2 linked regions of the Oryctolagus cuniculus genome follow. The protein of the gene in region 2 binds, or shares a complex with, the protein of the main gene of each other region. Links are inferred from orthologs where the notes say so. Each region holds a gene or a part of one and is shown on either strand. Other genes may lie near its edges.

What was found.
Region 1: the proteins of PAWR (region 2) and SPSB1 are in contact, whole or in part, in a crystal structure (PDB 2JK9), measured with the Homo sapiens proteins. The link is inferred for Oryctolagus cuniculus from reciprocal best matches to the Homo sapiens genes PAWR and SPSB1. Residues at the interface, in NP_001341661.1 of Homo sapiens: Glu68, Leu69, Asn70, Asn71, Asn72, Leu73, Pro74; in NP_079382.2 of Homo sapiens: Arg77, His78, Pro79, Val80, Ala81, Gln82, Gly110, Thr111, Tyr129, Val216, Trp217, Gly218.

The regions. Positions count from the first base shown.
Region 1 is NC_091438.1:158,700,593-158,704,488, reverse strand, and holds the start of SPSB1 (SPRY domain-containing SOCS box protein 1), read left to right. Parts: upstream 1-961; 5' UTR 962-1,128; intron 1,129-3,896. UniProt on the Homo sapiens protein: Substrate recognition component of a SCF-like ECS (Elongin BC-CUL2/5-SOCS-box protein) E3 ubiquitin-protein ligase complex which mediates the ubiquitination and subsequent proteasomal degradation of target proteins.
Region 2 is NC_091442.1:82,485,367-82,489,262, forward strand, and holds the start of PAWR (PRKC apoptosis WT1 regulator protein), read right to left. Parts: upstream 2,560-3,896; 5' UTR 2,419-2,559; intron 2,102-2,418; exon of another isoform or gene 1,914-2,101; 5' UTR 1,756-1,913; coding exon 1,219-1,755; intron 1-1,218. UniProt on the Homo sapiens protein: Pro-apoptotic protein capable of selectively inducing apoptosis in cancer cells, sensitizing the cells to diverse apoptotic stimuli and causing regression of tumors in animal models.

The sequences.
Region 1 (3,896 bases), on a different chromosome or scaffold from region 2:
TGTGGAAGGGCCACTGAAGCCACCCTGTCCCCCCGCACTCGGTGGAGCCTCTGCATGTTGACCCTGGGTCAAAACCACAGGGGGCTGTAGCCCAGTGGCGTGAGAAGACCTCCAGCTTTGGAATCCGGCCACGGCAGCCGGTTCCAGGCTCCGTCTCTGGCCCATCACCGTGTCCTCAGCCTCACAACAGCCGGCTGCCGGCACGGGGCTATGGTGAGGATTAACCAGGGAAACACCTGGCTCATCACCATCACCGCTGTTCCAGGAAGGCCAAGCTACACACCGTGAGGGGCGGGGGTGTAAGGAGATTTTGCTCTTAAAACAGTAATTTCTGTAAGACCTGCCCAGTCCCGTGCCTCTGGGCTGGAGCAGGACAGGACAGCTTCCTGTGGGTCCAGAGCCACAGTCCAGGCCAGGGGTGAGAAGTCCTCCGAGGCAGCACCATCATTCATTCATTCATTCATTCCACAAGCATTCAGGGAGCTGCCAGGCGCGCCTAGCGGTCTAGCACAGCGGGTGCCCAGGCGCCCGGGGGCCCTCGGGGTCTGGCGGTCCTGAGCCCCCAAACAGAGCAGCGGGAGGCTCCCCTGCGCCCCAAAACCGCAGAAACCCGCTGGGAATTTCAGACAAGGCAAGCGAGGTCTTGCACTTGAAACAACTTCCCATTCTCCCCGAAGACGTTTAAATTAGGAAGCCCTGCCCCCACCCCCGGGCCTGGCACGGCCGCGCCCCTCGCGTTATTGCAACCCAGGCCTCCCTCCGGCCTCCGGAGAGACAGACGCCGCGGGCGCACAGCGCCAAGGCCGTGGCCTCGCTCGCCCGGGCGGCCTCCGGGAGGGGGCGAGCGAGCGCTGGGCCCCGCGCGTCCGAGGCCGGGGGCGGGGTCGGGGCCTGGGCGGGCCGGGCCCGCCCACGGGAGCCTTTCCTTTTTTTTTTTTTTTTGCACTTTAAAGCCCGCGGCTGCTTTCTCTTCCCGCACAGTCCGCGCGCTCGCAGCAGCGGCCAGGCTCCTGCGCTGGCGCCGGGGCCGCGGGGAGGAGGCGGCTTCGCTCCCTGCGGCGGGCGCGGCCCGGGCGCCCGAGCTCCTCGGCCCGGGAGAGCGGCGGCGGCGCCGGACACCGAGCACCGGTGGGTGGAGGAGCGTGAAGGGCACCGGGGACCCGGGAGGGGCGGGACGCAGGGAGGCGGCGCCCGGGGCCCGGTGGGGGTCCGGGCTGGGGACCTGGCGGGGCGCGGAGGCCCCGGGCGCCCTTCGCTCGCCGCGCGTCCCGGAGCGGGGCCGGGCGCCGCCCAGCGCCGCTGCCCGCTGCGGCCGCCCGGGTCCCACCTGCGGGGCCGAGGCCGGGCGGGGACCGCCGGCCGGGGGTGGAGCCGCGGAGTCCGTGCGCCCGGGCGCCCCGGGGCCTCCGAGCCCGCGACCGTGCCCGCCGCCTCCCGCACGGGGGGCAGCGCGACCCCGCTCGGAGAAGTTGGTTTCGCTTTTCCCGCCAGTTCGGGCCCGAGTTTGCAGAGCGGCCCGACTGCCCCTCAGGGCGCCTCCGGCCGGCCCTCAGCGCCTCCCCTGGGGAGCCCTCCGGGCGGCGCCGTCCTCCCGCGCCCCGGAGCCGCTGTGGCCTCTCTCGGCCGCAGAGGGCGAGCCCGAGGTTGTGTCAGGAAATCGATTAAAACAGAAAAGCAAGGGGAGCCTGGCTCTGTCGGTGGAGCCTCGGGATGGGTCGCTCGTGCGGGGCTTGGTCCCTGTCCCGCTCAAGTTCAGGGCTCCGAACCAAGTGGACCGGGGCGGCCGGGGACTGCGGAAGTGGGTGTGAGAGAGAGAGTGCGTGCGGGAGAGTGTGAGTGTGTATGGGTGTGTGTATGTGGGAGAGTGTGAGTGGGGGGGAGGATCGTGAGAGTGTATGTGCGTGTGTGGGAGAGTGTATGTGTGTGTGGGGGTGGGGGGAGTATCGAGAGTGTGTGGGGAAGTGTGAGTGTGTGAGTGTATGTGTGTGAGTGTGTGGAGGGAATATCGTGAGGGTGTGTATAGGTGTGTGTATGTATGTGGGAGAGTGTGAGTGTATGTGTGAGAGTGTGGGGGGGAGTATCGTGAGAGTGGGTGTGTGTATATATGTGGGAGAGTGTGAGTGTGTGTGAGTGTGTATGGGTGTGTGTATGTGGGAGAGTGTGAGTGTGAGTGTGGGTGGGAGAGTGTGTGCATGTGGGGGGAGTATCATGAGTGTGTATGGGTGTGTGTGAGTGAATCTGAGTGTGTGGGAGTGTGAGTATGTGTATGTGAGAGTGGGGGGAGTATTGTGAGAGTGCATATGGGTGTGTGCGGGAGAGTGTGAGTGTGTATAGGTGTGTGTATGTATGTGGGAGAGTGTGTGTGTGAGTGTGTATGTGCATGAGTGTGTGTGTATGTGCGTGTGTGTGAGTGGGGGGAGTATCGTGAGAGTGTGTGGGGGAGTGTGTGTTTGTGTATGTGTGAGAATGTGTGGAGGGAGTATCGTGAGTGTGTGGGGGAGTGTGTATGTATGTGGGAGAGTGAGTGTATGTGTGAGAGTGTGAGTGGGAAGGGAGTATTGTGAGTGTGTGTGGAACAGTGTGAGTGAGTCTGGGGGAGTATCGTGAGAGTGTGTGTGGGAGTGGGAGTGTGCATGACTGTGAATGTGGGTGGGAGAGTGAGTGTGTACATGTGGGGGGAGTATCATGAGTGTGTATGGGCGTGTGTGAGTGAATCTGAGTGTGTGGGAGTGTGTGTATATGAGAGTGGGGGAGTATCGTGAGAGTGTGTATGGGTGTGTGTGAGTGTGTGTGTGGGAGAGTGAGAGTGAGTATGTGTGTGACTGTGAGTGTGTAAAAGTGAGTCTATGAGTGTGTGTTGTGTGAATATGAAAGTATGAGTGACCCTGTGTGTCTGAGTGTGTGTGTGTGTCTTGGTCAGAATGTGTGTAAGTGTGAGTGCATGTGTCTTGGGAGTGTGTGTATGTTGTGTGTATATGAGTGTGTGTGTCTTGATGGGAATGTGTGTGTGTGTGTATGTGAGGCTGTGAGTGTGTGTCTGGTGTGTGTATGTGAGGCTGTGAGTGTGTCTGGGGTGAGTGCGTGTGTGTTTGCCAGTGCCGTGGGGGAGTGTGTGCACGTGTGTGCTTTGAGTGTCGCTTAGCCTGCCTTTTCCTGGTTGTTCTGGAAAGTGGGGCGCCGGCACCCCGGGGCAGCAGGCTCTCTCCTCCCCTCTCTTTTTCTCTGAAAGTGAACCCTGCCGTTTGGGGGTGAGTTGGCAGGGTTGCTTCCTGCATGAGTAATATTTAATTAAACACTCCCGGGGCAGCATCAGACACTGGTCATAAGCTGAGTTTTAACAGGTGTTCATGGTAAAAGCACCATCCGGGTGAGTAAGGGTTGGTGGCCTAGGAAGAATTTTCTCTGGGGTAGGAGGGTCGCGGAGGGGGAGCCCCAGCCTCAGCCCTGGCGGTGGGCGCGGGAGGGGTTGGCAAGTGCTAGGTGGAGGCTAGCCCTGCGTGCTCATTCCCCACCCCACCTCCACCCCCACCCCCACCGCTGAGGAACCAGAGCTAAGGAAGCCCTGTCTTGCTTCCAAGGCTTTCCTAGAATGGCCCTTTTCCTGGAGCTCAGAGAGGGTGGCTCCCTTAGCCAAACTGCACAGCCGGGGCTGCGACCGAGACCCCCAAGTCCTGGCTGTGACTGCTGTCGCCGTCCCTGGCACTGAGATCACAGCTGGGCAGCTGCACAGATCGTCCGGGGCCCTCCTCACCTTCCTCCTCCTCCTGTCTCTGAACCCCCTTCCTTCTCCAGGGAGTACTTGCCTTGGTGGATGGAGTGTGTGCGTGTGTGTGTGTGTGTGTGTGTGTGTGTGAATTTTTGCAGATGGGGAGATGTGTAGTTACCGAGTGTAAGAA
Region 2 (3,896 bases):
AATCTGATTACCACTTTCACGAATTCCTTTTAAAGCAATTTAATGAATAACATATTTTGCGCAAGTAGCAAACCACAAAGGACAGTTCTGCTGGCTGATAAAAATCTTTTCGAAACACTCATACAAAAATACACTCTGAAATGACACTCTAATTTTCCAGACATGGAAATCATATTAATACTTAAATATCTGTATATTTTTGATATATGCCAAACTGACTGCAAATACTTTTACTTAAACCACGAGATTAGTAAATTCATAATAGTTATTTACTGGATTGCAAAGTTGAGAAAATTAAAAGGTCGGGGGAGTAAAAGGGGAAAAAAACGTGGAATCTCAGGAGCCAACAAGAGAAAGATGCAGCTTACTTTGGGTCAAACAAGGTAGTTGAACCACTTCCCCCAAACCGGTGAGCTACTCTTTAAAGCAACCAAACCCTGCTTAGAATTGCTTAGTTTTGTTTCAGGCAGAGCGAAGTGTCACTAAGCAGGTATTTTTTATCACCCTAAGGAAAAGATGCTGCTACTTGCAAAAATGTCGTGAGACCACTCAGAACTACCCAAACAAAAACATAACAACAATCACAACAACAAAAAAGCCTACCACAAATGCCTTCCAGAAAAGAGACAGTCTGGGCAAACAGCATCTCTATAGTCCTAAACATCACAGGGGGGAAAAAAAAAAAAAAAAAAAAAAAAGACGTACACTGGGGAACGCTACGTAGTAGAAAGTTGGTTAGAATATGAAATAGGACGTAGGTTCATTTGGATCTACTCGGCTTTGCGTCCAGGGCAAAATAAAGCTCTCTTGGCTAATGCTAAGGCCACACTTCCTTTACAGGTGCTTGTAAACACTGTTTAGACAGAAGAGATAAACTGATAAGTTGAGAAGGACACGTGGGAAACCAGAGGGTGTCGTCATCATCACGAATCAATTTTCCTAACTGGTGAGCAAAAACAGGTCCAGGTAGTAAAGGGGGGGCCCTGGGTCTGAGACCTTGGCCAGGAAGCCAGAAAAGCACGTGTCCTACTCTGGGTTTGGGAACTTCCCGGGAAGCGCTGGGTTCCCAGTAAAACTCCATCACCCTCTGGCTGCCTCACTCGGGAGAAAGCAGACGAAGTACGAGTCGCCACGGGAACACGCCGGCCCCGAGGCCCGGGAGGGAGACCTCGGAGGCGGCGGCCCGTCCAGGACCGGCCGCGGCCCCGCCCGGCTCACCTCCGCCGCCGGGATGTTGACCACGCCGGTGGAGCGCCGCTTCTCCCGCAGCTTCCTCTTCTCGATCTGCCCCTTGCCTTTCCTGGCACTGGGGCCCGAGCTCTTGCCCTTGTCCGGGGCGCCGTCCGGCTCCTCCTCGTCGCCCCGGGGCTGCGGAGCGCCCGCGGCGGCGGCGGCGGCGGCGGGAACCGCGGAGGGGCCGGGGGACTCCTCCTCCGCGCGCCGCGGGCCCGGGGCCGCCCGGCTCAGTCCTGCGGAGCCGACGGCGCAGTTCACGCCTCCCGGGCCGGGGGCGGCAGGTGCGGCCGAGCCGCCCGGGAGGTTGTTGTTGAGCTCGTTGGTCGCTGCGGCCGCCGAGGTGGCCAGAGCCCCCACTGGGGGCTTCCCGGCCGCGTCGCTGCTGCCCCCGCCCGGGACGGCCGGGCCCGGGGGGTTCTGCTTGGCGCGCATCTTCTCGCGCTTCGCCTTCCACTCCTCCAGGAAGTCTGTGGTGCTGCCGCCGAGGCCGCCGCTGGCCCGGTAGCCACCGGTCGCCATATTCCCAGAGGGGCCGGTCGGGCTAGCACCTCAGGCCGTCCACCCGTGCTCCTGCCGCCGCCGCCGCCGCCCCTTCCTTCTCGTGGCCAGGAGGACGCGAGCGAACGACCCCCACCCCGGGCGCGGGGTGACCGCGGCTCCTCCCGCAGCCCGCGAGTCTGAGGAGAAACACAAAGGGGGCGGAGAGGGGCAGCGTCAGGTCCCGGCCTGGCCGGAGGGTCTGCTAGTCGACCGCGCGGCGCGGAGCCCCCCAGAGCGTGCCCACCGGTGCCGCCGGCCAGTGGCTACCGCGTCCCCACCCTGCAAAGTTTCTCCGACGCACCTAGACCGCGGGCGGGACGATCACCGCCCCTCGCGGGGAGGAGAGAGGAGCTGACCCCACCCCCGGCCGGCCCGCCCCGCTCCATCCCCACAGAGTCCGCGTCTGCGGCGGTCTGGCGACCCCGGCCGGACCCTGCCACCTGTCGGCCCGACGGGTCGCAGGCTCCTCGCCCCGGCCCCCGCAGGTCCAGAATCCCCGCCACCTACGCCCCCCAAACTCTGTGCGAAGAACCGCACCCCGAGCCGGCTCGCGGAGGGGGGCGGGGACCCAGCTGTCCGGCCGAGCCCCAGGAGGGGATGGGGTGCGCGAGCCGAGCTGGGGCGGCCGGGGCAGCTCCTTACCTCGGAGGAGCTTCGGGCGAGGTGGCGCGGGGCTGGGAGCGGGTGTCCAGGTGAGCCGAAAGCGCCGAGCGCTCTCCGGACGCGTGCAGGGAGTCCCGGCACACTCGCAGTCCCAAGGCTGTGCGAGGCTCGCAGGGAGGGAGAGGCGGGGGGTGGGGGGAGCCGAGCGGCGCCGAAGCGCGGGCGGAAAGGGCCGAGGCAGCGCGGGGGGCGCGGCGCGCCGTGGAGCCGGGGGTAGGGCCCGCCGCCGCCACGCCCCCGGCGCTCAGGTGCGCGGCGCCGCGGCCCGCCCGCCGCGCGCCCTCATCCCTGCGCGCTCCGCGGCCGCCCGCGGGTCCGACGGCGCATTCCTGAAGCTGCCGGCTCGCGGTGGCCGGCCTCCCGGCGCCTCCGACTCCGGGCTGGGGACGGCTCTCCACGCCGGGCTCCTCCCTGCGCCTGCTCGCCGCTCCCATCTCCCGCCGCTCTCACTTTTCGGTACAGGACCAGATCATTCGAGGGAAAGCCTGAATGGCCGCTTGGCTGAGAAGGAAAGTGCCATCGACCTGGGAGGACTCAGGGCCTGACTGGACAGTTTGGGGAAAATCCCCATGCGTCCCTTTTGCTCGTCACTGCCCACTTTCAGATGTTCTGGGCTGGCGGGTACGGAAGCAAACCCAGCAACTCCTAAAAATCCTGGGTACACGGGGCTTACTGTCCCTGCATTATCAGTGTACTATTGTGTTAGGCTTGCAGGAGAAAAGCAAAACTTATTTCGAGTATTTATTGTGTGGGCGATCCCTATCTTATTCGGAATTTTCCTCTGACCCCTGTCTCGACATCTGCTCTTTCCAGAAAGTGAGTTCAGCCAGCAATACTCCCTACCAAAGTGCTAAAGCTGTGTTAATGCTGACTTGAGATGAGCTGGGCCGCTGATTCTCTTTGTCCATCCTTAACTGGCCGTAGGGTAACTTTTGCCCCGTGCTGAAAGTCATCTGTGATTTGTGTCGGCGTTTGGCTGGGCTGTCGCTGACAAGCAGCAGAGGAGGGAGCGTTGCAGGTTACAAATGCCAGGTCTCCATTTTGTAGGACAGCCTTGAGTCACATTCTTACCTAACGTGAAGGCTGTCTTCCTGCTTAGCATTCCCGTTTAGCACAGGTGGCACATGGTGGGTGGGCAGGCAGTGTGAGCCTGTCACAGGAATGGGAACAGAAGAAAGTGACTCACACACTGTCTATTTTGCAGAAGGAAAGTCGCATAGTTCTGGTCTTTGATCTCTTGAGGTAAGCAGATGCGTAACTGCAGAAAGATCTGGAAAAATCTTTGGGAAAACAAAGGCCTGTCTTGAGAAAAGGTTTAAAAGGTGAAGTAGCCGTTTGCCTAAGTGATACCAACATGGGTGTGCCACCTGAAATTTCTCAATTATGCATTCGTTATTTTGATTTCTGAGTTTAAGGGGGAGGAGGATTGGAAGATTGGGCATTAAACATACTCGCAT